Struthio camelus: one gene and its partners. The protein of the gene in region 1 purifies or fractionates together with the protein of each later gene. This does not show direct contact. Links are inferred from orthologs where the notes say so. Each region holds a gene or a part of one and is shown in the gene's direction. Other genes may lie near its edges.

The links.
Region 2: the proteins of SMAD3 (region 1) and KAT2B purify together in Homo sapiens (affinity purification with western blotting, with the first as the bait; 3 studies listed by BioGRID). This does not show direct contact. The link is inferred for Struthio camelus from reciprocal best matches to the Homo sapiens genes SMAD3 and KAT2B.
Region 3: the proteins of SMAD3 (region 1) and SKIL purify together in Homo sapiens (affinity purification with western blotting; 6 studies listed by BioGRID). This does not show direct contact. The link is inferred for Struthio camelus from reciprocal best matches to the Homo sapiens genes SMAD3 and SKIL.
Region 4: the proteins of SMAD3 (region 1) and FOXO3 purify together in Homo sapiens (affinity purification with western blotting; 3 studies listed by BioGRID and IntAct, with this or other methods). This does not show direct contact. The link is inferred for Struthio camelus from reciprocal best matches to the Homo sapiens genes SMAD3 and FOXO3.

What each region holds. Positions count from the first base shown.
Region 1 is NC_090953.1:2,692,044-2,698,963, reverse strand, and holds the start of SMAD3 (mothers against decapentaplegic homolog 3), read left to right. Parts: upstream 1-3,909; 5' UTR 3,910-4,207; coding exon 4,208-4,413; intron 4,414-6,920. UniProt on the Homo sapiens protein: Receptor-regulated SMAD (R-SMAD) that is an intracellular signal transducer and transcriptional modulator activated by TGF-beta (transforming growth factor) and activin type 1 receptor kinases.
Region 2 is NC_090943.1:42,676,254-42,683,713, forward strand, and holds the start of KAT2B (histone acetyltransferase KAT2B), read left to right. Parts: upstream 1-4,441; coding exon 4,442-4,663; intron 4,664-7,460. UniProt on the Homo sapiens protein: Functions as a histone acetyltransferase (HAT) to promote transcriptional activation. Has significant histone acetyltransferase activity with core histones (H3 and H4), and also with nucleosome core particles.
Region 3 is NC_090950.1:27,918,409-27,925,580, reverse strand, and holds the start of SKIL (ski-like protein), read left to right. Parts: upstream 1-4,160; 5' UTR 4,161-4,340; intron 4,341-4,596; exon of another isoform or gene 4,597-4,649; intron 4,650-5,141; 5' UTR 5,142-5,994; coding exon 5,995-7,101; intron 7,102-7,172. UniProt on the Homo sapiens protein: May have regulatory role in cell division or differentiation in response to extracellular signals.
Region 4 is NC_090944.1:59,590,511-59,598,515, forward strand, and holds the start of FOXO3 (forkhead box protein O3), read left to right. Parts: upstream 1-4,997; 5' UTR 4,998-5,126; coding exon 5,127-5,741; intron 5,742-8,005. UniProt on the Homo sapiens protein: Transcriptional activator that recognizes and binds to the DNA sequence 5'-[AG]TAAA[TC]A-3' and regulates different processes, such as apoptosis and autophagy.

The sequences.
Region 1 (6,920 bases):
ATGGCCCTCTTAGCTGCTCTGGTAAATCCCTATCTGTTGCAAATTTTACAGGTTGTCCACCTGCTTCTCAGTTGTCCTCTTCAGTCACACAGTAAAATTCCCTTCCACAAGTAGATAATGCCCATATAGGAAATTATACTTAATATTTCAGTAGCTGAGTAAAAGAGAGATGGCAGTACATTAAAAGCTGGTTCACAACCACTCCCTGATTTTCAAACTAGCCACAATTACATGTTAAAACAGCCCGGGAGCTGTTTCAGCAGGCAACAGGCTCCCCGAAGAACCGTCTCTGAGCATAGCCAGAATACAGTTTGTTCTGGTCACGCTTCCTCCAGCCTGCCTGTTCCAACATGCCCCTGCAAAAGAGGTTTCAGGGAGAGCAGCGTGCGAGCTAGTGGAACTGCCTCGTGCCTGCTTCAAACTCCCTTATTCTCTTCTCACTCCTCGAGTGGTATAAAGTGAATGTGGAGTGAAGCACAGAACCTATCCTTCAATCTCAGAAGCTGTTAAGAGTATTTCTAATAAAGGTAGATACGCGTGTGTGAGAGCCCCAGAGGACACCTTCTTGCTTCTTATGCTCATTTTATATCGTTTCTGAATCAAAACCCAATTTTTGTCGTCTTGAAAGTAAAGTTTAAATTCTGTTCCCATTCACTGATGGGTCCTGTGAATGAACAAGGTATATAAAGATTATTTTTCAATCACTGTCAAGATGTTCACGTAGTAGTAAAAGGTTAAGAAATGCAAGAGAGCCACAAAGCATACGGTTGTTTTCTTCAAGTAATCTCAAATAGATGAACTATGGAGGGCTTGTGTTTTTGCAGATTATACATCTTTACTTTTCAGTACGAGCAAAATGCAATGAGTGAAGTCCCTAAACCTGTACTATGTAACAAACATGCAAAGATAATGATTGTTGCAAAGTAAAGAAAAATTTATATCACTAATGAACACATAACCTTATCCTGCCTAGAGGTGGCTTCCAAGACATCAGACATTTTGTAAACCAGAGAACGGATCCAGACCATGTAAAATTGGGACGGTCCTGTCTTTTTCCTGTCTGTTAATTTTTCCATTATGAGAGTGTCCAAAACTCTCTGAAATAAAGGATTACTGTCTATGGGTTCAGAAAGGCATATTTTCACAGAATGGTTCATTCTGACAGGTAACCCCAGCAGCAGTCATACAAATTGTTCTGTAAATTGTAATGACCTTGAGCTTGGAAATTAATTCTACGTCTTGAGACCAAATGTTTATTCATTTTCAGTTCTAGTGTTCTCAGTGGTGCTGCGGCCCAGAAGGCAGATGGGTGATTTAGCTGGCCTCCTCCTTACTTGTGATACTGTAAGCAAGTGAGACCCATTTTGTTTTAGCATTTGGCTAAACAGGTAAATCTATTTACCCCTTTGCCACTAACTCGCTATATAAGCGCGAGCAAATCTCGCAGCTCTTCCTCCTCTTCCCCTTATTCAAATTTACCCAGCTGATCACCTGTGATATGACTATAGTAATGGAGTGAATTTTAGCCAATGAATGTGTACAGAAAATCCTGGAAGCCTTGCTGAACTAAGATTACAGCATGAATTCTGAGTTTAGAGGTGAGATTTGAGTACTTTCATTTTTCTGGCTGAAAAACAGTATGGAACAGTCCCCATGCTTTTCTAGCATGAACAGTGACAAAGAAATGGATATGGTCCCCAACAGAAATCCGCACTGTTATTACCCTGATGCAGTGTTGACAGCTCTAAGACTGTTTCTTCACGCATAGTCTTGCCCTGGGGCTTCTTTATGTTGCAAAATGTGCTGGGCCAAGAACCAGGAAAATAGAAAAAGATGACTTTAAACTTCCCCACACTTAAAATTATAGTTGTATTTATTTATATACAAAAAAAATGTATTTAACTTCTGTGTTTCACTTTGTTCACATACTCAGGTTATTCTCCAAATATTGTTATTCTCCAAACCATTTGCTATCAGGAACCAGGCCCTTCCAGAAAACAAATATGCAGCAAGTCAATGACACTAAGTAGCAATCAGTAATTTGGGCATTTTGGTTTTAGCATAATTAGTTGCTGAGAATTTTTGTGTTGGTTTTAGAGGTGCTGAGCAACTGTTTCCTCAAATGAAATTGGGATCATCTACAGGGGCTCAGCATCACTGTACTTCAGGCATCTCAATTTAGGCAGCCAAAAACTGGGTCAGGGCAGCGTTCCAAAATTTTAGTGGTGAGCCTCCAAAATTCAAGACACTCGGGGAATGCATGTTGGGGAATAGTAAGAAAATGTTTTAAAAAGAGGGGGGGGGGGGGGAAAGGTTATTTTATTTTGTGCCCAATATTGCTACTTCAAATTTTGGTGTTGTCAGTATGGAATAAAAAGTACTATTTGTTTAAATCGCTGCAAAAGCCAAGCCAGTTGCCTCTGAGCTTCAGACACTGTCTGAACCTATAGGTTCATAACTTGCCGCAAGGCGATTTGTACGGCTGGCTGTTTCAAATCCACAGGCATGGAAAAGCGTTTGGATCGCCGGCTTTCGAGGAGTCTCCCCACTGGGCCGCGCTGGAACTGGGAGCAGGGGAATGCGGATTGGCAAGAACCTGCACGTCTGGGAGCGGGTGAGCAGCCCCGGAGGCTTCCCAACCTCAGGTTCACCGTCAGCTCGTCTGGGAGGCTGCGGAGGCTCGAGGAAGCTGGGAAGCCTGCCTCAGCTTCAAATGTCAAAACTTGGGAGCTGGGGCCTCCCAAAACTTTTTACTCTCTGATTCCCGGACGGCTGTGAAGCAGCTGGGGCTGAGGCGCCTAAAGGAAGGAGGCAGCGGTGACTCTGCAGGTGGCCTCCGAGCCCCTTGCTCCTCGCCGGGCTGCCCGTGCACCCTGCTCACGCCGCGCCAGGGTGGTATATCCAAGGGTTGGAGCGCTTTAGGAACTATGGTTGGTATTTTTATGGTCTTTAGGGCCTTTCGGCGTGAAGGGGAGGATGGTAGAGGTGGGGCAGCGTGAAAGCCCACTTTGTCCAGCGATGACAAGCGAGGAACTGGAAAGTTACCTGGATCCCGTCCTGCCTTAGTCAAGGCTGAACCATCTCTACAAAACAGGGCCATCTGAACAAGCTGCCATTCTCTGACAAAAATGTTCCGTCTGAGACTTTCTGACCAGGGCTGGTAGTAAACAGCTCCGGAGCGTAATTTGTGCCTGATACAGGGCAAAAATTAATCGGGTACCGGGCCCTCGAGGTGGGAGGATGAGGGAATGGAACAGTAAATTAAATAGGTTGAAACAAAAAAACTGCAGATCGTCGTCTCCGCCTGGCTGCTTTGACCAAGCGAGGATCAGCCATCTCCATGTGAAAACACACCTTTTTTCACAGAGAAAAACAGCCGTCGGGGTCCGCCGGGGGCCTTACCCATCCCCGCCGGCCCGAGGGCACTCTGTCCCTTCCCCTGGCCCGGCAGCGCTTTGTCACTCGTGTTTGTTCGTCCCTCCCGCGTGGGGGGAGACGAGGGTCAGGGTTAGGGGGCCGGGTGCGGGGAGGGGAAGCGGCCGCCGCGGGCTGAGGGGAGGCGGCGGCCCTGACGGGAGCTTCCCGCCTCGCCGGGCGCGGGAAGGCCGCGAGCGCGCAGCCGCTGAGGGGGGCGCCGGCGCTGAGGGGGCAGAGCTTCCCCCCCCCCCCCGCGCCTCCGCCCTTCCCGCGCGGGAAGAAAGAGAAGGAAAAGAAGGAAAAGAAAGAGGAGCGCGGCGGCGGGCGCCCCCGGCAGCGCGTGCGGCGCTGCGGCTGCCGCCGGGGGGGGCGGCGGCGGCGGCGGGGAGGGAGAGCGGGAGCGGAGTTGCCGGCCGCCCGCCCGCCCTCCGCCGGCGGCGTGAGGGAGCGTGTTTGGGAGGGAAGGAGGGGGTGGAAGCCGGGCTGGGGCGGCCAGCAGGCAATTTGCATGAAAGGCAGACTGGGAATGAGCTGGAGCGGGCGCCTCCGCGCGCACGCAGAGCGGGGCAGCAGGGGGAGGAGGGAGCCGCCGCCGCCGCCGCCGGGGAAACGCGGCGAACTCCGGGCAAAGTTTGGTGCCGAGGGCCCGAGGCGCTGAGGCAGCGCCGCGCCGCGCCGGGCCGGGCCGGGCCAGGCCTCGTGGTGCCCGCGGGGCGGCGCGGAGCCGCCGGGTTTCGTGTGGAGGCAGCGGCCGGGCCGGGTCGGGTCGGGCCGGGCCGGGCAAGCCAGCATGTCCTCCATCCTGCCGTTCACCCCTCCCATCGTCAAGCGGTTGCTGGGCTGGAAGAAAGGGGAGCAGAACGGGCAGGAGGAGAAATGGTGCGAGAAGGCGGTGAAGAGCCTGGTGAAGAAGCTGAAGAAGACGGGGCAGCTGGACGAGCTGGAGAAGGCGATCACCACGCAGAACATCAACACCAAGTGCATCACCATCCCCAGGTCGGTGGCGGCGGCGGCGGCCCCGGGGCGCGGCCCGGCGGCGGCTCGGGGGCCGTTGGGGAGCGGCTGCCCCCGGCAGGGGAGAAAATGTCTCCAGCCGAGTCTGGAAGAGGGGAAGTGGGGGGAGGAGGGAAAAAAAACCCCAAACCCCAAAGTTGGCAGCGCTCTGGGCTGCCCTCGCGCGTACCCTGGGTGCTCTCGTGGTCAAAAGTTGCAGCGTGTTCTGCGGCAGCGCTGCGCCGAGTTTTGCCTCTGTGTGTGTGTGTGTGTTTGCGCGTGTGTTTTGGTTTTGGTCAGGAAAATGGTTTTATTTGGGTTGCTCGCCTTATTCCTGCGAGCTGGCCAGCTACTGCGCTGCAGATGTGATTTAGAGCCCTGCTGCGCGTTTGTTTTCACATTGCTTTTTAAATCGCGAGAGCAAATGGCATAGCTGAAGGGGATTACTTGCACTGCAAAAAAAAAAAATTATGTAAGGATGGATGTAACAAGTTGATTTTTTTTTTTAATTTTTGTTTTAACATAGATTTTTATTTTTAGCCTTGATCCCGAAATCAATCCATAATATGCATCCTTCCTTATGATATACATAGCATCTAAGAAAAAATGTTCAAGTAACTTTCAAATAGCTGGCCCCAAGCAGTGCTTTTTTTTGCTGCAGGTCTGTCGATTTCTGTGAGCTGAGCCAGATGACTGCTGAGTCTGTTACTTGTCGTTGTTTTGGGGGGGGGGGTGTTTTTAACAAAGGCCAAAGTTCAGCCCAAATATTTGAATCCTGCATAATTGTATGCTTCTGTGTGAGAAGATATCTCTGTGAGTATGTGTATTCATGCCTCTCTCTCGCCCAAACAAATGTATGCTTTCTTGGTTGTCAGAATGATTTAATATGCAGTAGCTAATACAAAGCAGCATCTGTTGCATGAAAAAGTGAAGCAAGTAGCTCAGAAACGTGGATATTTGGAACTCCTAACATTTTTTCCAGCAACTAGAGTTTTAAAGAAAAAGTAAAGCCTCCTCATCTTTTCGGTCCTGAGCGATCATGCCTAAGATTTCTGCCAGTAATCCGGATTGAGGACTCTGCCTTTGTTAGAGTTACTCTGGCTCCTCGTAGTTGAAGCAGAGATCAAAACCTACAAAGCTGCCACCTGGTACAAATGCCCTTAAACCTCTATTTTGAAATTCTTGGTAAGCAGGGTACTTTCCTCATAGAAAATGCCCTGTGTAAACCACTTCCCTGAAATATTTGCCTTTTCATAAGAAAAAATTTACTTGAGGAGTCCTACGGTTGAAGTGACTTGTATATTATTGTGCTTCAGGTTTCCGTGGAGAGTTGCTGATGCTGACCTGTTAGGAAGCAGAGTGTGAGGCTCCCCGACGTTTGCTTTACTAGGAACAAGGTGTTTTAGCTTAAGGAAGGCATTTGGAGCAAAAAGACGGGTGGAGTAGGAAGCTTTAATTTAGAGAAATAATTTTAAAGCTGGAAAATAAGTAACACCACAAGCAGATGTCACAAGTTATAAATATTATCACCTCCAGAGATTACTCTGGCTATTGTCTACTGTGCAGAAGAGAATGCTGGTTTCTCCCAAATTTTGCTCTGTTAAAGGGAAACAGTACAAAAACTAAAACATTTCATGTTCACTTATGACACAGAGTCTGATCCTTCAGGTCTTAATCCTTGGTACTGGGGACCAAGGATTCATATGCTCACTACTGTCAGCATGTTTTGACGGTAGTTCCTTGTGCCTTGGTACTAGTCTTTAAACATGACGCTTCCTATGCACTTTTACTGTTATTTTATATAGATATTGCAGAGATCCTTAAAACAGTAGTTAGGTTACCCTGTGCTGGACCGTCTGCAGCAGCATAGTATTAGGTTAATGTCTAGATATCTGAGATTGGGGAAGGGAGTGGAAATGTGAAACAGCTGGTCTTGAAGCCAATGGCAGAGCTGTAATTGTAACCAGGCCTTGTGACTTTTAAGTGCAATGTCTTCTCCACTGGACTGCGCTGTTTGTCCTAACGCTTCTGTGACTGATTATCATGTCACTTGAAATTAGTGTTTGCAAGACAATTTTAGTATGGCTTTGGTATTTTCTTTTAAAATAATTCTGCATGCGTTGCTGTGTTATTTAGGCAAATTTAAGTACATTGAGGGGACAAAAGGGAAAAACCATCGTTACGGATAAGATCGTGTTGTGCATTGTCTGTAATACATCAGTAGACTAAATTACAGTGGAGCTATGCCAGGGATGACTCTGGCCCAGCAGGAGCAGGGTTAGTACAAAATTAGCCGTTGTACCCATGAGATGAGGCAAGGTTTGAGATGTAAAAGTGCTTAAGCTTTTCAGAAATGTTGCCCTTGGGAATAAGGGCTTCACAGCAGATGAGCTGAAACTTCAAATTCCTCTAGTGACCAAGTAGGGTTAAGTGTGTTACTTTCCGAGTGCTCAGTTTGTAAGATGATGTGACCAACAGACGTTCAGGTCCCAGGTTTTCTGTTTGAAGAA
Region 2 (7,460 bases), on another chromosome or scaffold:
TTTGTTTACACAATGACATTTTCTTCATTTTTTTCCCTCTGCTTTTGACTTACAAAAACTGGGTAATTGGGTTGTGAGGTTCCCTATGACAGTCAAAGGCTTAGTGGTAAGGTCTGCAATCCACATTATTAATTTCACATGTAAACTCTGTGGGAAGCTGACAAGATGCTAGAGAGTATAATGAACAAAACTTTTGTGCTGTTAATACTTCCAGTGATTCATAAAATATTGATAGCCTGAATGTGTAGTGGCCTCAAGGGAGGCCACTTAACCCACAAGGAATGTGCTAACGAAAGAATACAATAGGATTTTATACTTATAAATTCCCTGGAGGAGGGGGAAGCACTCTGCTTTTCACAATTGCATTGAAAGGCAAGGACAAAACCAGGTGGGAGCACGGGAGGAAAGTCTTGTCGTGAACAAAAGGAGAGTGAGACCAGTGGTTCATCACACTCGCTCCAAATAGGCCTGGGGTTGGGGGCGAGGGGGACAGATGCATCCCCAGCTGCACAGCTGGCTGCGAGGGCCCTCCCGGAGAGACAGCGTTCAGCATTAGGCAGCTATTAGTTGAATTATTATTCAACTTATGTGGCTGAGATCGGTCCCAAAAACCTCAAATGACAACTAAATAATACCTGGGTGTCAGGCACACCCTAAACCACATTTTAATTTCCTCTTTTGTAACTCGAGATGCCTCTTTTGTAACTGGATATCAAGAATACAGCCATCTGCTTTGCTGGAATAACTTGCATGCTTTTACGTTTAAGCTTGTCTAGAGTTCAGAGTGAATTTGGGCACTAAATGTGCTGTCCCCTGGAAGCACCAAAACCGAACATGAATCTCCTCAGGGCTATCAGCAGCTTGAGACAGGCCTGAGAGTCACAAGACCTGGAACATGTGTCTCATCCAGCTCCAGGCTTGCTTAAATTAACGTATATGAGTAGTCTTCCTGAAGTGGTGGGGCTACTTACCTGAGTTTGCAAGCTAAGTAGCACAATTAGGAAGTAGGCAGCTGTACTTAGCTCCTTCAATGGCTTGCTAAAAGCCAGTTTCAGAATAAGCTGGACTTGTGCAAGCCCATTGACGTGCCCTGAAGGACAGAAACTAAAAAATGTGGCAAGGTTTTTCAGATAATGCTTTGAGTTTAATTTTAATTTAATATTCTCATATTGAATATTTAATGGTGAAAATAAGCACTGGAGTGATTCTGTGCTCAGACTGAGTCATAAATTATAATTGAAATACTTTCAAAATTAGTCAACAGATAAAGTCAGCTTAGATATGAAACTCAGAATGACATGTAGAGTCATATGTCAAAACAGATTTTTTTTTCTGCTTCCCTAATAGAGTGTAATTTGTCATAGCCAAATTATATTCACCAAAGCCATCACTTGTGAACATGGCCCAAGTTATACCCCAGTGTTTCCAGCAACCAAACTATCTTTTCCTTCCTTATTCTTGCCAAAATATTGAACGTAACATTTTAGCTGTCACTGGAACAGTTTAAGGCAAGGTCATGTTAAGCTTTTTTTTTTTTTAAAACTTAATATTTTAGAACAAATGATAACAATAGATTTAAATGAGACTTACAGTTTAAAAAACCAAAAAGGCAAGCTTACCTAACAGCAGTTAAAGAGTGATTTCTTGTTAAGTTGTTCCTTTTTGCAATAGTAGGCAGTTGTTCTGCGTTTGTAGTGAAATCGGTGTTTATAAATGTTACTATAGTAACTGTATCCTTAGCCACAGGCTGGTAGATTTATTGTTCTGATTATCTAGTGAGCAGCAAGGTAAAAAGGAAAAAAAAAAAAAAAAAAGACTGTCAGACATGTTGTAAGAGAGCCACAATCTCACAGGAGGAGATGGCAAAAACTGCAGTAAAAATATTTTTCCCTTCATACTTACCTGCATCCTACTGTATGCCATGCAACAGCCTTTTTTCCACTAGACCCTCATAAACAAACAATGAAATGCAAGCAGAGATCCAAAGTACCAGGCATGTAACAAAAGTCAGTATCAGCTTCATAATGACTTTCATCCTTATTTTATTTCAGTGGAAGTAACAATTTCTCAGGCTTTTAGGACCTCGAAAAACAAGGTGAAAGAATCAGGCTGAAAGAAGGTTTTCTGCCTAGGCCGAGGTCCTGTGAACACTTGCACTCGTAGTTTCATACATAAACACACACTGGGCGGTCGTAAGTGGCGCTGGAACTAGGTGTGCAAAAACAGTAAATGTATTTTAAGAATTGAAATGTATAATTTGTTTCTGTGTGGATGCAAAGTTGATACTGGATTAGATAACATTAGTTTATCATTTAGAGGAGAAGCTAAAACATTTGCCAGCTTTGATGGTTTTCTTTTTTTTTTATTTAAAAAAGATGTTAGGAGACTGCCCGTCAAGGCCATAGCTCCCAGCAAAGCTGGAAGACAATGGCCAGCCATGTTAAGTGGCACACGGAGAGGAATTTGTTGTTACAGATGGGACTATTCACTTCACTTGCAACTGTAGCAGAGCAGTGGGAAAGCTGAAAGCGAAACCAAGCCATTTCATTGCCAAGTCTGGGAGGAAAGTGGAAGAGCGATTGTCATAAAGAAATGCAAGCAAATACATTTAGAAAGTTATTCTGATGACCTCAGGTGGATGTTATCATGCAGCATAATATTTGTTATCCTCAAATATTAGTTGAACACTCTCAAAGGAAAAAAAAATAAAGGTATAATTTAAGAGTGAGGGGTTTTTTTTATTATTATTCGCTCCGAAGGCAGGGTCTGACGTGCCGTCGGCGGCTTCCCACCGCCCCTCCGGGAAGCCGGGCGGGCAGTGCCTCCTCCACCTTAACGGTCTGTCTTAAAACACTGCGGATGGCAGCAGCCATCTTAAGGGTCACTGTCACCCCCCCCGCCCCCGCGAGCCACATCCCTGCTCGGGGATCCCTCCCCGGCGCCGGCCGCGGCGGGGGAGCCCCCCGGCAGCGCCGCCGCTGCCCGCTCCGCGCCGCTCCGCCCGAGGGCGGCCCAGAGGCTTTGCGGCACTTCCCAGGGCGCGGGGGGAGGCGCGCAGGGCTCCGCGCAGGGCTCCGGCCCTCGGGAGCGCGGCACCGACCAGCTCGGACCCGCCTCCCCGCTCGTCACCTTTTGTTCCTTTTAAAACCTCAGCCCCCCCCCCCCCCCCAAAAAAAAGCCCACCCCTCCTCCTCCTTTGCAAATAAAAACGTTGAAACCTTTCAATCTGAAAGGGAACTGGATGCGTCCTTCTGATTTTTTTCGCACTGAATGAAGATGTCAGCTCACCGTTGAGTCTCAGTGGTTGAAAATATCCAGGGAGAAAACGGGGCTGAGGGAAGGGGAGATCAGAGGGAAAATGCGTCCTCAGTCCTCCCCCTGCTCTTTACTCCCCACCTTGCAGAAGCCTCTCATCCTTTGCGCTTGTGTAAGCCAGCAAGGCCCTGCGTTGCTGCGAGAGCTCTTTCATGCACTGGGATTCCCCTCAACGTTAATATTACTGCTTCTGGTTCACACATCAAAGCCCTGTAAAACACACACAAGCGCGGGCAGCCTTAGCTCCAACCTTTTAAACCGTGGTACTGCGTTAGCGAATTGTCATTTGTGGTTTCTCACCGTTCAACCGCGTTTTTACATATGTGCAGCAGGACATAACTTCCTCAGAACTGAAAGGCTTATTTCCAGGCACAGAGTGCAGTTGCTGTGGCAGAATCATTTACTTAATTTGAGCTTCCAATTAAAAGGTAGCTACTTAAAGACATAGGTTGACCTGCTGTTAACACCTGTTCCTGGACAAACAAGAAGCCGCGACGTGACTCCCCCCCGGAACTGAGCAGAGTCTTTATAGTCTCACATCTTTAAAGCCAAGGAGTATTTTTATGTTCTTTGACTTCGAAATAATCTTTAAAAGCAAACAAATAAGAAACCGGAACGGTTTAAAAACAGCTGAGAACTGCAGGGTGTGGAAACGCAATAGTTAAGTCGACAAACTAGTGGCACCGTGAGGGGAAAAACGGGGCTTTTAAAGGACTTGAAGCCAAGGGGGGCCGAAGAGTGCGGCTTCTTCCGCGCCTCTCGGCGGCCCCTTTCCTCCTCCGGTTCCCGGCCGCGCAAGGCCCGCACCGGCGGGGTCCCCCGCGCGCAGCCGAAGCCGCCGCCGCCTTACGCGGGGGCGCACGGCCGCCGCCCGCCCATGCCGGCGCGCGCGCTCCCCCGCGGCTCGGCGCTGCGCTGCAGGGCGGGAGGCGGGGGCCGGCTCCGCGCTCCCCCCGCCCGGCGGGGCAGGAGCCGCCCGCGGAGCGGCCAGTCCCCTCCCTCCCCGGGGGGAGCAGCCGGCGGCGGCGGCGAAGGGGAGGGTCTAGCGCTCGGCGCACCGCGCCGGCAGAGCCGCACGGGCGGGCGGCTCCCGCCGCGCCGCGCCGCTCCGCGCCGCTCCGCGGGGATGGCGGAGCCTAGCGGCGCCGGGGCCGCGGCGGCGGGCGGTGGCGGGCCGCAGCAGGGCTCGCCGGCCGCCGGCGGGGTGGCCGCCGGGGGGCCGGCCCGCACCGCCGCCGAGAGCCCCGGGGGCCCCGGCTCGGCGCGCACCGCCGGCAAAAAGGCGCAGCTGCGCGCCGCTCCGCGGGCCAAGAAGCTGGAGAAGCTGGGCGTCTACTCCGCTTGCAAGGTACGGCGCCGGCCGCTGGCGCCCACCCGCCCACGGAGGGTGGGGATTGAGCCGGCTGGGGAGGGAAGGGAGGGCGGCAGGCGGTGGGGAAGGGCCGGGCGGGGGAGGCGGCGGCGGCCCAGCTGCAGCTCCGCGCTGCCGGGAACCGCGGAAGTGGTGAGGCTGGTGGTTCCTCCTCCGCCCGCAGCCTTCCAGCTAGGAGCGGCAAGAATAAGCCCGAAAGACGCCGAAAACAAGCCCTCGCGTGCAGCACCTCCCTCCTCCTCCTCCTCCTCCTCCCCCTGCCCCTGTCGATACGGGCAGTAGCGGACGTGCCCGTCCCGCTGCCTCCGCCCCAGCCCGGCCCCCGCCGGGGTCGCTCGCACTTGCACCGCTGGGTTGACGGCGCCGCGGCAGCTGCTCGCCGCGTAAACACCGCGCGGGGCCGTTGCGCCCCCTCGCCCCGGGGGAGGGGGAGGCGCGGGGCTGGGCCGGCCTCGCGTCCCGGCGGGGGCTGCCGCCATCCAAATGTCGCTGCTCCGAGCTGGCAGCGTCGCCAGCAGCTCTGGCAGAGGAGCAACGAGGCGCGGCCTCTCCTCTTGGGAAAGTTGTCCCCACTGGTCACGTCGGTGCGGGCACGGAGGCCTCTGTCGTCTCCCGCACTGGGCAGGCCTTCTCCGCTCACCTTAGTGACACTGCCCTGGGTTTCCCTCCCTGCATCTTTCCCTCTGCCTGGAATTTTCTTCCGGAGGGGAGAAGCAGGACTTGACTGTTGTTGGAGATTGAGAGAGCCTGGTCAGAGTTGCAGCCTTGCAGTCTTTGGAGGTCTGTGACCTCCAAACTGGTGTTGTCACCTGTGCACGTGCGGCTGGACTGCACTGCACACGGTGCAGGGCCAGTGCCCTCTAAGCATGGGCTGTCACCTGCGTTACTGCTTTCGTGACTATTCTTGGATGCGTGATGAGTCTGACACGTTCAGGATGGCAGTAGTGTCATGAAATCTTCTAGTAATGCTTTTGGCATAGCAAATAAGTGAGCAGTTTGTGAGAAAGTGTATTATTTACTTTCTTTGCTCCTTTACATCAGAACCCTCAGAAGGGCAAATGTTAAGTGAAAGGCCAACCTAAATGCTTAAATACGTGAGGAAGCGTTATAATATGGCTCTGTAGTCCTGTCTGGTGATGGGAAGTGCTTTAACTGTACTCTGAAAGCATGTTGCAATACTGTAAGTCATGTGAGGTCAAGTCAAGGAAACCACGCACACACTTCAATTTCTTAGCTGTTTACAAACATGCAGGAATCTCCTCTCGGGCTTTGGCATGTATGTGTGACGTTGCAAGAGACCACCACTGTTGGGAACTTAACAGAGCAGTTAGTGTGTTTGAAACCTGAGGTCCCCATAGAAGGATGGGTGACATGGTTCAAAACTTTCTGGTAGTGATTCCCCTCTGCCCCCCCCGGTATTTTAATGTTACCAAATTTTGCTATGCTGTTAAACAATGTTAGACAGGGAGGATGTGAGGTTTTCATGAGCTGTTGAGTGGTGTGTGTGTGTGTTTATGATTCTACCTTTTCCTTCCCTAGTCTGATCTTTTTTCTTTCCTTTATGGATCTCCAGGGGTGGGCACAGAGCTGTGGCAGCTTGTGTTGCAGGTGCTGTGTGTGTGTGGTAGTGTTACCAGCCTTCAGCTCCTGTCCTTCTGCGAGAAGTCAGGGCCGTGTCACTGCTGGCACTGCAGTGAGCTGAGAGTGCGCGACCTGTGGCTAGGGACACCCTGGAGCCTCTTTGTCCTTCCCTGCCAGGAGCCTGGCACAACCACAGAACTAAACACTACCCTGGGTTCAGATTAAAATGCAAAAGCAACCTTTGCTACCTCGCTTTTCTTCAGTAATTTAATAGCAGGCAGCGTTCTTTCAGGTTGCAAAACATAAGCAAGTAGACAAACAGGAAGCTTCTTGTAAACTAATCAAGCGGTTTTTCCTATGGGATAAAGGGGGAAGGATGGAGGAGAGCGGAAGAATGTGTTATTTTTCCTTTTGAACAACTGGCAGGTGCTCCACAACTACAGTACTTGGCTTGTAACGTTAGTGGTTTGCAAGAAGCTGTAGCAGTGCAGGGAATAACTTTGAACTTTCTTACTTTGGGCTGAAACTGATTCTATTTATTTTGTGCGTTTCTGTTTGTGTGTGAGAGAGAGACAGAAATCAAACACTCGCACCGCCTCCAATCTCAAAATAATGTAACTTATGTGTTTATTCAAGGGGCAGCCATGCGTGAGTCTTGTGTAAATATACAAAGAGCTGTTCAGGTTGCAGTGGAGAAACTATGCAGTGCCATCCTTAATGGTGGTGTCCTTCTCCCGCGGGAAACAGGAGAGGAAAACGCTGCTGCTTCAGCACATAAAGTTTAGTAGAAACTTAACCTCTGAGACGCTGAGAGGAGCAGAGGCAGAGAGCGTGTTCGTTAGGGCTGAAGAGAAGCAGCGCCAGGAGATGGGAAGAGGGCTGACACTGAGCGGCAGGTGGCTGGGCCTCGCTGGTGGCAGCAGCAATGTGCTGGGCCAGAGATAAGACTGTCCCGAGCAGGACCGCCGTGTGAGCGGGCTGCTCTGGCCCCAGGAGGGAACGAGCCCCCTTGTCACTCTAGCGATCCCTCTGCTTCAGCCTTTGGGAAGTGCAGGCAAAAACTGCAGGCAGAGACATCCTCGATGTGCATATAAACTCAGCAGAGCTAGACTGAGCATTTTGGAATAAGTTTAGGGAGCTGCTGCCCCAGCCTAGGACTATGGAAGAGTTTTGTTGTCATTGTTTTGGGATT
Region 3 (7,172 bases), on another chromosome or scaffold:
AAGTAAAAATAGGATGTTTTTATCTTTTAAAATAACTCTCTCTGGGAGCTGACCTAGAAGAGTAAAGACAAATTCTGTGTGGGTTGCACTGGTTTTAAAGCTAAGGTGTTTAAACAAAGCAGCTGAAAGTGCTAAATGTGAGTTACATTTTAAGACAACCTTAAATGTTAATTTAATAAGATTCCAAAAAACTTGAGCACCTCTTGAAAATCCAGAGAGGTTAGTAATAAAAGTAAAATCCCTCCCAGGCTCTGTTAGTGCGATTTCTTCAGTGCTAAAAAGATCTGTAGGTAAGATTTTAGTTTAGTTACGTCGTACCTCTGGTACCAAAGTGCTTTTCATAGTCGACAGTCAAGGCTCTAGGTAGAGTTCACGGTTTAGTAGACTATCTTCTACCTACGAACGTTGTCTTATGCTGCCTGATGATGTAGCGCTGTAACAACACTTCTGTTTCACCACAGTAGTTACCAAAATTTGCAGCTTGAAATGAAAAATGTGCAGAATTTTTAAACCCAAATTAAACAATGACACCTAATTCCTAAGCTTACGTGCCCTCAGCAGGTGTAATATCCACCTACAAATGTTGTCTTGCTTATGTCCTCCGATCATTGCAGGTACGATGCTATGAATCTTCCATGCTCTTGAGTTATATACAATTGAAATATGACACAGTGCATTTCAATGGTTGGCTATTTGGAGAGAAATTTTTGATCAAATCCTAGACTCTTACAGGGTAGAAAAGAGATAGGAATGTCCAGAATGTTTAGATAATAGAATCACTGGTCAGTGTTTTTCAAGATCAGCCCCCCAAACTGGTAGATTCAGAAGCCTTTTTAATTCTACTAAAATGTTGTGGCTATTAAGCCCCGTATCTACTTAATAAGTAAGTACAGAGTATTAGTACTCTTCCGGAATGGGTGTACTTTTCCATAAAATTATTTGCTGTCCTAGCCTCAGACATTTTACTGTGGAAGAATAAAGAATAAAGGCAATTGAGATCAAACATAAATGCACTCTTGCATTTTCTCCATCACTTTCCCTCCGTCTCAGTAATACACACCCTTCTTGCCCTGTAAAAAAGCAGTTCTCGTTTTCATGTAAGGGTAGCAATTGTACTCCTGCAGCTGCTCTGCATCTTGCACTGTTTGCTTAACTATAAATGGAGAAAAATACCAGTCTTCATAAAATCCTTCCACAGAATCATTACATGAAAAAATCCTCCTCTTTTTAAAACTTTTTTCTTTCTAAGGCTGCAAAAGCTTGTGTTTGACATAGCAGCCAAAAGGTGAGACAAGACTTGCAGAGTCCTACGTAATTCTGTTTTGCTGCAGGCTAGAGAAGAGCATTAGAGAAGTACCAGGGTACTGCAAATTACTGCACAATGTTATAACCATGTTTAAATGAATTCTAACACTTCCCTACTTTGAAAAGTAAAAAAGACTAGATATAAAACTGCATATTGAGGTGGCATGATGTGTGTTTATTAACCACAGGGTGTTGCTGGATTAGATCAAACTCACTCAGGTGCAAAGATGAACCAAGAATAGGTTTATGGTCCTGGATCCGTGAAACTTACTTAAAATTAAGTACACGAATCCTATTTGCAGTGAATCTCAAGTGGTTGGACAGTACAGAGGCATCAGTCTCGGTTATCTTTCGGCCCATAAAACTCAGTCATGCATGAGCCTCTGCTCATGCTCTTATATGTACAGATTTCAGCTGAGATTCCGCTGCTATAGAGGAGTTACAGAGATGAAGTCTGGCAAAAAGAGCTAGAAAATAGTAGGGTAAATTAAAGTAAGGAAAAATGTACTCCCCATAATGGTAGTAGTTAATATGTTAAATGCTCCCTGAGGAATGGCTGAGTCGATCTTTAGTGGCTTATAATAAAAGCAGAGAAACACAAGGAGGATGGAAAAGGGCAAAAAGCGGAGTACTGAAGGGACAAACAATGAGTTTCTCCAATACTTGTGTTCTTCCCAAAGTTTAAATCTTGGTTCCAATTTTTGGAAAGCTTTCATCTTTACTTTGGCCTATATGGAGTGGCAGGAATTTATGCCTTCCTTTTCCTTCTCTGCTCTCTCTGTAGTCTATGAAAAGACAAGTTACGTTTTTCTATAGGCATCGAAGTGTCTGTGAAGTGTGTCTATTTCAAAGAGCTGAGAAAGTGCTCTTAATTTCAAGTAATTGGGACGTTCACATGCTTCAACATGCTTCAGGCTTCTTTGTGGTACCTCTTCATTGGTAGGAAAGCCTTACTTCTGCCTGAGGGTGCCACAATAACAGCAACAGTAAAACAACGATCCTTGTGATGACACCTTCTGCCGAATGTAAAAATTGAGGTCGTGCTCTATTTCGGATTTTTGATTCTTTCATCTCTACCTGAATTCTTTAATAATAGAAAGGTCAAGTGGTTTTCTCTAGGCTTTAGCAAATAACTATAACCATTATCGTCTTTGTGATCACAGAGTTATTGTTAAAAGCCCAGACGCAGCTGTTTATACAGTTATTCTAAACCCTCTTCTGCTGTTTAAACTGTCAGCAATTTATTATTTTTGCAATATAAAGCACCACGCGTCCTAATGACTGCATTAGCTGCTGTGCAAACATATGGGAAGATGGTTTCTGCCTACAGATGTGTGACCACTGAAGAGTAACATCAAGGGCAAAGCTTGGAAATAAAATAACACCTCCGATCACGGGGCTGACAAGAGAAAAGTCACAAATTGCTTATGCGCAAACACATTAAGCGCTATGTAATTTAGAGAGGTTGTTTTTTTTTTTAGAAATCTAAAAAAAATTATATGTTGCCAATTGTCATTAGAAGAAAACGTTGTGGGTAGCACAAGTGACCTGGTATTTTAAGAGTTGAAAGGTGATTCGAGAAGCAGCTTTACAGGGGTGAACCATGCCTGCACGGAGGACCTCTAACCAAAGTCAAGAGTTGAAGTGTATCAAGCTAAATATGCTCTTCAGCAAGAAGAGGGGTTTTGTTTGCTGTTAGCCTTCAGCTTGAACCCGAACGCGGCCGGGCAGCGCTGGGCCGGTCCCGCTCCTCGTCCTGTTAAACACCTTGCAGCAGCGGCTGTGCAGTTGTGCCATTTTAATGTTTTTTTTTCTTTTTTTTTTACGTTCCCTTTGCATCAAAATAAGGATTAAAGGCAACGGCAAACTGGATTTTGCCCTTCAGCTGAAGCGGCAAAATGTCTTTACAAGGAACATGTAACAACAGCTGTGTACGGCAGAAACCCGTCCCCCGTACGCGAGCTGTACAGAGATTAAGCGGGCTCTGGAAAGCAGCTTCTTCCCCTGCCAGCGACAGGACCGAAGTGGGAGACGCTCCATACGTCAACCCCTCTTGGCCGTGACCGCACAGCTTCCGGCTGACTGGGGCTCCAAAACCATCTTTTGACCCGCTCCCCCACGTTTCAGCCGTTCTTCTGAAGGCCCCGGTGCCTCGTGAGGAGCCCGCGGCGCTGCGGGCAGCCCCGGCGGGCACCATCGCGTTTCCCTGCTGCCCTGTCCGCCCTCCTGTTCCGCAGAGGTGGGATTTTTTTTTTTTTTTAAGGCGCCTCGCGTTTTCCCCGCCGTTTGCGCCCTCGTTTTTTCCCCTGTCCCCGCCGCCCGCCCTGACATGGCGCCGCCGCCCGCGCACCCGGGGCGAGCCCCGGCCCCGCCGCCACCAGCCCCGGGGAGCCGTCAGGAAACGGCCGAGACGGGGCAGCCGCGGCGGGGCGAGCCGAGCCGCCGGGCGGGCAGCGCCGCTCCTCCTCCTCCTCCTCCTCCTCCTCCTCCTCCTCCTCCTCCCGCTTTGCGCGGCGACAGGGCGTGTGAGGGCAGCCCGCGGCGCCGCGCCAACCGCCCGAGCCGGCGGCGGCGCCGGGCTGGGAGGCCTCGGCAGGGCGGGGAGGGCTTCCCCTGGCGCGGCTCTCCGAGGGCTGGAGGAAGGTTTCCCCTCCCTCCCCGGCGCGGCGCGGCGCGGCGCGGGCTGTGTGAGGGCGGCGGCGGCGGCTCCGCGCGGGCGGGGGGAGGGGCCGCCCGGGGTTGTCTGAGGGAGCGGCTGGCGCGCGCGTGAGGCGGGGGGGGGAGGGGGAGGGGCGCCCGCTCCCGCCGCGGCCCCAGACAGTGGGCGGGGCTGCGGCGGCGGCGGCGGCGGCTGAGGCCGGCGGGGGGCGGGGGCGGGGGCGGCGCGCGCCGCCGGCGGGTTCGTGCCCGCGCGCCGCCGCCGCCGTCTCCGCCGTCTCCGCCGCCGTCTCCGTCTCCGCAGTGAGGTCACGGGTGGGCGGCGCGAACGCGGCTCCTGTTCCGCTCGTGGGGCGCCGGGGCCCCCGCGGTGCCGGGTGAGGAGCCGGGGAGTCACCGGGGGGGAGGGGGCTCGGCCCGGCGGCGGGGGCCGGGGCCGAGTCGGCGGGGGAGGGGCGCGCCGTGCCTGAGGGGAGGCGGCGTCTGTGGGGGCGCCGCGCGGGGGAAGCCGCTCCTCCCGCGGGGGTGGGGGGGGTAAATTTAGCGCCGGAGGGGGCGGCGGGCGCGGAGAGGGCGGCGGCGGGAGGAGCCGCAGCTGGCGGAGCGGAGCGGGCAGCCGCGGGGCGCTGAGGCCGGCGGCGAGGGGAGAGCCGGGCGCGGGGCCGGCCGGCGCCGGGGAAGCGCCGGTGAGTCACGGAGCGGCGGGCGCGGCGGCCCGGGCCCTTCCGGGAAGGGGGGGGAGGCGGCGGCGGCGGCGGCGGCGGCGGCGGCGGCGGCAGGGGGGGCCCCGGCCCCCGGCCCCGGCGGGAGGGGGCTCGTAGCCCGCCCGCGTTGGCGTTTCTCCCCCGAGTGTTCCCCCCCCCCCCCACACACACCCTGTGAAAGAGAAACCTCGTCCTCCCTCTCCTCTTCTCCGCTTCGCCGCGCTCCCGCCTGTGGGATTTGCCGCACGTTACACGCAGCGCTGTGCGGGCGCTGGGCTGGTGCCGCTGCCAGCTTCGCCCATCTGCCAGGGGCTTATGATGGGGCTTCTGGTTTTTAAACGAAAGCTCTCTGTGCGTTGATGTTTTGTAATTAATTAGGAAGCGTGTCCCTTGTTTGATATGTTGAGCTCGTATTTGAAGACTCTAGTCTCGGGAATTAATGGTTATTAATGACCTCTCTCTCTCTTTTCACAGGTTATCAGGAGAGGTTGACAGAGCTGTGTATTAGCACAAGATGTGCATTTAGCTGATGGCCCGGATCTTATTTGTATTGCTAATAACTCGGGGTGGGAAAAGCCAGGCACACACCGGGGACGTCTGTGCTAAAGGTGACTCTCTAGGGACGTTTAGTTTTTGCCAGCAATCTGGATCAGCCTTTAATTTGGGGATTTATTGGTGAACTGCCATAGTAACTCTAGTGGTGGTGGTGGCGGTGGAATCGTAAACTTGGCTGCCCAATAAATAAAGGCCTTAAGCTTGTGTTTGATCCCTGACAACTGAAGGAGAAGCGGCGAATAAAATTTTCACACAACCAAACTTTATTTGGATCAGTTACACTGAGTTCGACGCTCTTCAGACTGAGACTTGTGGGCATTTTTCTGTTTTGGTATTTAAACAAGAGGCTTGTTTGAAAAGCCAGTATGCTTTTTAAAGGGGAAAAAAGTGACCGAGGATGGATGCTCTTGCATCAACTCATCATTTTTTACTGAAAGACTATACGAAACTACTGTGCAAACTACTGAGTAGGCTACAAAGAAAATCGTTGTATATGCATATTGCAATGTGTTTTGTATAAAAGAAAATTGGACAAATACTTTTAAACCTAAAAGAAAATGTTGTTTACCCTCTCCATTCTTAATTCTGTGGTATTACATGCAAAAGGGGCTACAGTTTTTTGCTCCTGGAGGCTGAAGGATTAACTTACTGAAAGGAGTGCAAAGCTTGGCGTGTGTGAAGTAGTCAAGATCATTTAAAATTGATTTTTGTATTAGCAAGCAGGAAAATGCACACTCTAGATTTGCTTGCTTAAAAGTTCTAGCGTTTAGCAATGGAAAGCCCGCAAACAAACTTCCATCTCGGTCTAGGTTCAGACCAAAAAAGGAGTGGGGTCCACGAGGATGAGAGTCCTCCAATAAAAAAAGTAATGACAGAAATGCATGTAAATAGCAAAGTACGAGTTGTAATAAATAGACTGCCAACAATAAAGAAGGAAAACTTGGATGACTATGATGAAACTCCTGTGGAGGCTGATGGGGAAAACGCCAAGCCAAACAGTGCTTCAATATCTGAGCCTTTGAATTTAAATCCAGGTTTGAAACACACGCTGGCACAGTTCCACTTAAGCAGCCAGAGTTCACTGGGAGGGCCAGCAGCTTTTTCAGCTCGTTATTCCCAGGAAAGTATGTCACCCACTGTCTTCTTGCCTCTTCCATCACCGCAAATACTTTCTGGTCCACTGCTCATTCCTCCAGACAGCTCTACAGAACTCACTCAGACTATATTGGAGGGGGAATCTATTTCTTGTTTTAAAGTTGGAGGAGAAAAGAGACTTTGCCTGCCGCAAGTTTTGAATTCAGTTCTCCGAGACTTTTCATTGCAACAGATTAATACAGTGTGTGACGAGCTGTATATATATTGCTCAAGGTGCACGTCCGACCAGCTTCACATTCTGAAGGTTTTGGGAATTCTTCCATTTAATGCTCCATCCTGTGGGCTAATTACGCTGACTGACGCTCAGAGACTATGCAATGCTTTATTACGTCCTCGCACTTTTCCTCAAAATGGCAGCTTTCTCCCTGCGAAGAGCACATTGGCCCAGTTGAAAGAGTCTGGCAGTGCCTTTGAAGTAGAGCATGAGTGCTTGGGCAAATGCCAGGGTTTGTTTGCACCTCAGTTCTACCTGCAGCCGGATGATCCCTGTATCCAGTGTTTGGAGTGCTATGGAATGTTTTCGCCCCAGACGTTTGTGATGCATTCACATAGATCCCCTGATAAAAGGACCTGTCACTGGGGCTTTGAATCAGCCAAATGGCATTGCTACCTTCATATTAACCAAAAATACTTAGGAACATCGGAGGAGAGGGAACTGAAGCATCTCTTGGAGGAAATGAAGGAGAAATTTAGTGAGAAAAATCAGAAAAGAACTCGGTCCAAAGTAAGTTCACTTACTCTTGTAAATTTCCTTCCGATAACAAGTAAATATTTAGCTTAGAAGTGTGTTATTTG
Region 4 (8,005 bases), on another chromosome or scaffold:
CACAATTTGGACTCTTGCTCTGTGTCCATCTGCCAGTCAGTCCCCTTAATAACTCTGAAACCCATTAGCCAGTTTTACCCAAATTGATCGGAAAGGTTAAAGTCTCAAAGCATGAAGTTGGCTGGCTTATAGATGACATTTCTTACTAATCAGCACACAGGTTGCTTTGAATCAGCCACAAAACCTGCTGCCCTTTGCCCAGTCTGTGTTGAAAGGAGGTAGTAAGGAACTCTGGGAAGAACAAGAAATACAGAGGGGGAGCAGCTATCTGGTGGGATATATGGGAGGAGTAGACAGGGTTATTGCAGTGGACACAAACCCGTTGGAGACCAGGCTCCAGGTGGCTGACAGAACAACCTGCTATACACTCTTTGTGTGAAGTCAATGTAGACAATGCGGCCATTGTTTAAAGTAGCTGCAATATAACGTTGTCTTAGCGAACAGCAGTATACTTTACAACAGATTTCTCAAACGATCAGGGAAAGCTTCAGGTCCTCCGCCCCCAGTGCAACTTCGACTCTGCCTTCAGCTGCACACCTACGGTTCTGCAATAGGGTATTTGTATAAGAGATGTAAAGCCAGAAGTGTGTCCTGCACTTCTCCAGCTACCAGCCCAGTGAGAGTGTAGGTTATTGGAGCATGAAGGAGTGATTTTATCTGGGTTACTGCTATAAGCTAGGTACACTATTATCTTAGGAAAAGCTGACTCTCTGAATCAACAAAATGGAAGAATCAGAATGAAAACTGAGCCAGCAATAGCCTTCTGTAGTCGAGCATAAAGCTTAAAAGAGTTTAGCTCAACAAAAAAATCACTTATGCAGATTCCCACTCAGAGTTCACATGGTGTCATATGAACATTACTTTCCCCCAAGCAGTAGGCAATAGGCCTCACATTTCGTGGGGCTTGAACAGTCCACGAGCAGCCAAGCTCACCCACGGGCATGACTCAGAGCTGCAAAGGAGCTGTGACCCCACCAGATCCATATTATAAGCCACTGACCTCTGTCTTCCATCCAAGAAGCTGGTAGCCCCATAACCTTCTGCGTAAGAAGGTGGCTACATGATCCATCGTGATGGGTACACATGTTCATAACATAAACGTGAGTAGGGATTAAAAGAGTTGCAGAAGACGCAGTACCGCCCTGAAAAGCTCGCAGTCTAAGTAGGCACAATAAAGGAGTGAGGCTTTCAAATGGCCTCAGGGCTAGCCTAACTTTATTCCTGTTGAAGTCAGCGATAAAACTCCCATAAACTGAGCCTTTTTGAAAATCCCACCCTTGGGGCATTGAAGTACTTAAAGGAAGAGACTGGAAATCATGCAGGTTTTAGTTTGAGTTTTCCTATTTATTTCGGTCAGCCCGGTCATGGAACAGTGATCAGAAGGGTTCATCTGTCTATTTTTCTCGCACGAATTTGGCTAAGTAAAATGTGTAAGAACAACTGAACTGTGGTTTTAATTCTGCCTCTAAACTGCAATATCACAGGCAGGAAATGCTGTGTGGAGCTATGAAGAGCTGGTGCTCTAACTTTTTTGATAAAGCCCGTACAGCTGATATACCAGTGAATTTTGAAAAAGGAAGATAATCTTGTAGTAAAGGCCCGGGGCTGGCACTCAGGAGATCTAGTTTTCTTTCTCATTTCTGACACAGGCTTCCTGTATGACCTCAGCACAGTCACGTAATCTCCCAGTGCCTCAGTCCATCATCCTTTTAATAGGGTTAGTACATACTTATTTCCCTTCTCCCGCCCTGTGCCTGTCTTACTTGCACTGCAATTCTGCCAGGGAGTGGGGCATTTCACGGCCTTCACCTAGTACAATGAGACCTAACAGCAATGCCTATACTGTAATGCAATGCCAATTAAATAAATAAATGAAGATGATAACATAATTTAGAGCTAGATTTTCATTTTGTAATCCAGCTCAGGGTCAAAGTGCTACACTTCCCTGGGACCTCAGGACCTAAAGAAACCAAGGAGGTTTTTGCACTGGTGAAAATCTGCCCCAAGCGTTTGAAGGTTTTGGGAAAGGGTTGAGCATCTTCTCATCATGAGCAGCCTTGTCTCGTGATGGCTCATGAGTCTTCAATGCTGCTGCAGTACCACTACCCTACCGATTGCTAAATAGTACAGATAAATGCCAGTATCACAACTGCACTGTAGCTGATGTCTTTCTGAGAGACCGAAACCCCTTTCCGGTTTCATAAGGGGCCATGGTATGACAAAAGCCATGGCACGACACACACCGTCGTGACCTAAAGTGGGGTCATGCACTGGAATGTGTTAGTTGTAATGAAAATTGCTTCCATTACCTGAACCTGCATTTATTCTGATTAATTCGGTGAACCTTCCCTATTTAGATAACTGAGGATTAATCGTATGCATGCTGAAATCCTGTCCCTTGTAATAAAATCATGCTGAACTATTCCTAATGAGTGCCACTTGAATTTGAAACTTAACTAGATCCTGAGGGCCTTAGTCCTTATTTAGCAGGACGTGTAAGGCATGCAGGATCAGGGCCTTACTGTTTTCTAATCAAACCGAATGACTTTCAAATCTCATTGCTCATCTATAATGCTAAATAAATCAGGGATAATTTAATTTGTCTGCTGAGCTAATTCTATCCAGAAATGCTTTAGAAGCACACCTACTTCTCAACACATGCAGTTGACTCTGTCTGGTATCTGAGACAACACTATTTTTGTACTAAATCTAATCCATAGTTTGTTTGGGTCAATACAAAGTGGGGCAAGAACTGATACCTTGACATTGCTTCATAAGGTATTTATAACTGCATCTATATTAACAGCTCTATCTTCTTTGGCTTTGTGGGTCACCCCTTTATCCAACCCATAATTAACTACATCTTCATCTGAGCTACTTTGGAGGCTTTCTGTTACAGCACGTACTCTAAGGAGGAAGTACAGGAGGATTATAGTTGTGTGTACATGCCTGAACATGCTCCTCTGTCACTCAACAGGCCAAAGAGAAGTTTTTTTTTGAAAAATGGCTAGATTCAGTTTGACTCCAAATTTAAAGTTCACCAACACAACTTTTACAAAGGTTTACGACCAATGAAAAACAATTTAGAAAAGAAACAGGGCAACATTCCTCCGCTGTGACTGTCAGCCAAAGCTGTTTTTATAGTAAAACAAAAAAAGCAATAGCTGCAGTTGTGTTACTAGTGCTACTGGCTAGTCAGGTGAATCCAACAAAAACAGAAAGTAAGGAAAAGTGAAATTATTCAGCTTATTAGGTTTGAAATTATTCATTGCTTAAATTCGGGTGAGTGCAGAGAGGACGGACTAGGGTAACCCTAGATACAGCGTTACTGTTCGATTTTTATTACTTTCTGTAGCCATGTGCCGGGGCAGCCCGGCGCGCTCTCCTCCCTCCGTGGGCCCTCCGCTCACACCGGCTGAGGAAACCGAGGTCGGGGGCTGACGGGGAGCACAGCAGCGGGTCGGGGCGGGGGAGAGGACAGGCAAGCGGGTGCGTGTTTTCCCCGCTCGTTTCCAGCAGTCCCACCAGGCTCCGGGCAGCGGCGGGCGGCCGGCGGAGCCGTGGTCTGCGCGGCCAGCCCGCCCCGTCGGGGCGGCCCCGGCCAGCCCTGCCCGCCGCCGCCGCCTCCGCCTGGCCCGGCCCGGCCCGGCCCCCTCGGCCTTGTGGGCGGGCCGTGCCGTGCCGTGCGGTTAGGTTGAGGCTGGCTGCGTGTGTCTATAACTTTGTGTTGCTGCCGGTGGTTGTTAGGAGGAGGGATGTGGAGGTCGGCGGCGAGCGGGGCGCCAGGCGGCTGGGGCGGGCTGCGGCGGCAGCGCGGCTGCTCGGCGGCGGCGGCGGCGGGCTGGCCTGTGCGCGGCGGCTGGCCGAGGCGGCTGGCGGCGGGCTGCGCTCGCCTCCTTCGCCTTTAAAGGGAAGGCTCGGCGGAGCTGAAGGCGCAGGAGCAGCAGGAACCATGCAGCAGCGGCAGCGGCAATAGCAATAGCAGCAGCAGCAGCGCTGCCTTTTCCTCCCGTGAATGTGGATCGCGCTTTCTGCCGGCGTTGGAGGTGGCTGTTGATCCTTCCCCCGGCCTCCTCCCCCTCCCGGCGCGGCTCTCGCTGCCTCTCCTGCCCGTGCTTTTTAAATGACTTGTGTGAAGGGGGGGAAAAACTGTCAAGATGGCAGCAGCAGGAGCAAGGAGGTTATGAATGTGGTGTTGATGCTGGAACAAAACCTATTCTCTTTGGCAGCCCTAGGGAGGGCTTAAAGCTTCTGGACCTGTTGGAAGACTGGTGATTTGATTTGCTCGTGTTGTGTTTGCTTTTTCCCTGCGAGAAGAAGGATTTTTTTTGTTTTGTTTTTAAGCCGACCAACCCCCAAGGTTGCTTTCCCTCCTTTCTCCCCCCACCCCCTCGTTCCGTCGGCTTTGAGATTTTGGGGGGTTGCTTGTGTGTGGCTTGGGGGATACGGCAAAGTGACAGGCTTATGCTAGTATGCAACTGGATGCCTGCTAAGACTTCGGCTCCCTTTAGGGCGTTTTGCAGAAGGAAAAAGTCTTCGGTGTAATCTGAAGGACCCCTCTCCCCCCCACCTCCTGCCGAGGGAGGGTGGAAAAGGAACACCAGAAAAAAAAAAAAAAGACAAAACCCAAAGGAAGATATCTGCGGAAGCGACAAGGAGAGAGCTCGGAGGTGCCGGGGCGGGGGGTGCTCTCCCGGCTGGATACAGCCGCGGTTGCCGCTGGAGCTACTTGTGCCTCTGCATGGAGTGAAACATAAACAAACACACGCACCGCGGGAGCGGCAGCGGCGGTGGTCGCGCCGCGCTCCCCCAGCGCGGAGGGCAGCGCAGCGGGCGCCGCCCGACCCCGCGCTGCCCGCTCGGCGCCGCCGCTCCGGCTTTTTATTCCGGTTTTTTTTTTTTTTTTGGGCCTTCCCCCACGCCCTCCGGCGGGCGCCCCGCCCGCGGGGAGCGGGAGCCCGGGCTGCGCGGCGCTACGCGGCGCAGCGCGGCGGCGGCGGCGGCCGGCCCTTAGCGGAGAGCGGCATGCCCGCCCGCCGGCCCCGCGCCTGCTAGGCTCCCGGCGGCTCCGAGCAGGCGGCCGCCCGCCCCGTCGCAGCGCCCCAGCCGCCTCCGGAGAGGCCGACATGGCAGAGGCGTCGCCCCCGGGCCCGCTCTCGCCCCTCGACGTGGAGCTGGACCCCGAGTTCGAGCCCCAGAGCCGGCCCCGCTCCTGCACCTGGCCGCTGCAGAGGCCCGAGCTGCAGGCCAGCCCGGCCAAGCCCGCCGGCGAGCCGCCCGCCGACGCCGCCTCCATGATCCCCGAGGAGGAGGACGACGACGACGAGGGGGGCGGCTCGGCCATGGCCGTCGGCAGCGCGGCCCCCGGAGGCGGCGAGGCGGCGGCTGCCGCGGCGGCAGCGGCGGCGGCGGCGGCCACGGCTTCGGCCGTGCCCGAGGAGGCGGCGCGGCTGCTGGCCCCGCTGCCCGCCGGCGGCCCCGAGGGGCCGAGCCTCTCGCCCGGGGGGGCGGCGGGCGGCGGCGGGGGGCTGAGCGGCGGCCCGGCGGCGGCGGCGGCGCCGAGGAAGTGCTCGTCGCGGCGCAACGCGTGGGGCAACCTCTCCTACGCCGACCTCATCACCCGCGCCATCGAGAGCTCCCCGGAGAAGCGGCTCACCCTCTCGCAGATCTACGACTGGATGGTCCGCTGCGTGCCCTACTTCAAGGACAAGGGCGACAGCAACAGCTCGGCCGGCTGGAAGGTGAGACGGGGCGGCCCCGAGGGGGCCCGCGGGGATGCGGCCGGGCCGCGGGTTTTCCTGGCGGCGGCCGGTGGCTGCGTTGTCACCTTTCCCCGATTTATTTTTGGATTTCTTTTTTTTTTTTTAAAGGGGGAAGGAGGGGGGAAAGAAAGTTTAGGCGCTTTCCTGTTGCTGCGTGCAAGCGGTGAGGGCTGACCCCGGTGGTGGGGGAGAGGCTGAAATGCCTGCGTGGAGCAGGCTGCTCTGGTGCCCAAGGGAATCAGCAGGGGAGAAAAGGAGGCGGGGGGAAAAAAAAGAGAAAAAAGAGAGATGCTTGTAATGGCCCCTTTTAAGTTATAGGCACCTTTCGTGTCACTCGTCATAGAAACGGGCAGAGTTGCTTTCATGCCGTACCGGTCCTAGTCTCAAAGCTCAAGTAGAGAAAGACTTATTTTCCTCCAAGAAAAAACCCCTGTGATCCCCCACGTGTTCCCGAAAGGCAACGGAGGAAAAAGTGGATGTTGCCGTTTCTTTATGAAGTTAATGAAACGTCGGAGTTAGGGGCTGCTGGGGCGCGGGAGCGCTTGCGTTGCGTTTTCCTGCGGCGTCGGTGCACGCGAGAGCGTCGGCCCCGCTGGATCCCGTATATCCGAGCGTTTTCTGCTCGGCGCTGTGACACTTGGCAGGGGAGGGGGGAAAAAAAATCGGGTTTGGGGGCTTGTTTACTTAGTGCGTGCAAAAAGCACGTTGTGAGCGGTCAGGGTTTTTTGCTTTGCAAGCTCACAGTGTGTTAAGGCCTAGCAGGAGGAGCTGGTGCTGCGCGGAAAGCCCGTCTGAAGGGATTTACGGAACTGCCCCCCCCCGGTTGTGAGCGTCTCTTCATTAGGACGCTGGAATGTCACTGGCGTGCAGCTACACGGCAACGTAGGTGCTGCTTGAGGCAGATGCTGTTTGCGGAGGGAAATCCTGGCACGGTTCAGTGGCCGCCGAGGGCCCGTGTTAGTGGCATCCTAGACTGAGTTTCTGAAAGGGTGACTGACTGAAGGCGAATTTGCGGGGAAGTTTTATGGCGTTATGGAGAAATTAAATCCCCCCTTGCATCTCTCTCTCTTTGCGTCGGGGGATAAACGTGTATGAATCAGTCAGAAACATTGTAGGGAGGAAAAATTTCTGGGTGTTTTCGTATTAGCAACTCTGTCTCGTCTTTTGGTTTCTGAACAGGGCTTGCTGTTAGGAATTGAAGTGCAGACGTATGGCTTTTCCCTCCCAAAGGGAGCATTACAGAGGCAGCGGTTCCCTGCTATTTGTCTCAGGCTGGCGAAGATATAAACAGAAAGTTTACCAGCGGCGTCACTAATTCGAGACCGGGCTCTTGAAAGCACGGATCTGCTTTAAAGCTTTTGCGTCTGTATTAAATGTTGAATTTTGACGCGACTTCACAAGTGCGACACGGACGACACGGACTGTGATAAAGGGTTAAATCCTACGCTGACAGCCCTTGCCTTGGCAGGTTGTTTGGTACTAGGTGCACGAGCAGTGGCTTTACATTGTCAGCTGTTACGAGAAATGTAGCCTTCTCATCTGCTGCCTCGAGTTTTCGGTAAATTATAGCTCCCAGCAGAAGACAGGCTTCTGAAGCAAAAGCACTGGTACTGTTTCAGCTCCGTTGGGTGGCACAACTCCCATTCGCCTGGGCAGAAGCAGGATATGGGCCATAACGCAAAGTGCTTACATTGATTAGTATGCTTAATACGGTCACAATTTTTTCTGACAATTTATACTGTTAATTTGATATTGATTCCTTTTCGGAGCAGCATTAACCGGTACTTGGAGCTAATTAAAATGCTAAAAACTTGGATCCCTTGAGACTTCTCTGATATAATTTAGTTCAGAAGTTTCTCACAAGCCTTTAGGATGACCTTTATCAGAGTATGCAAGCGCACTGGAAACAGAACATTCCTCCTGCTTTTAATGACTGTGAGCTGTCTTTGAAAGTTATGGTAACATGTTTAACCATGTTAAGGGAGTGTGTATTTGTGCGTGGGTGGTGGGGGCACGCTGAAGGGGGCAAAGGAGAGGTCAGGAGCTAATAATTTGCCAGGCATCCAAAACTGAAGGATTTAATTCCTGGCAGGGCTGGAGTTTCTTTTAATGTATGCACGTGCATTCAGAAGAGGAATATTTCAGTTTCTTGGCTGGGACACAAGTTAGATTTTGAGACTCCATCTTAGTTTCCCCATGCTAAAACACATTATATGTTATTATCATCACAGGTAATGAATACG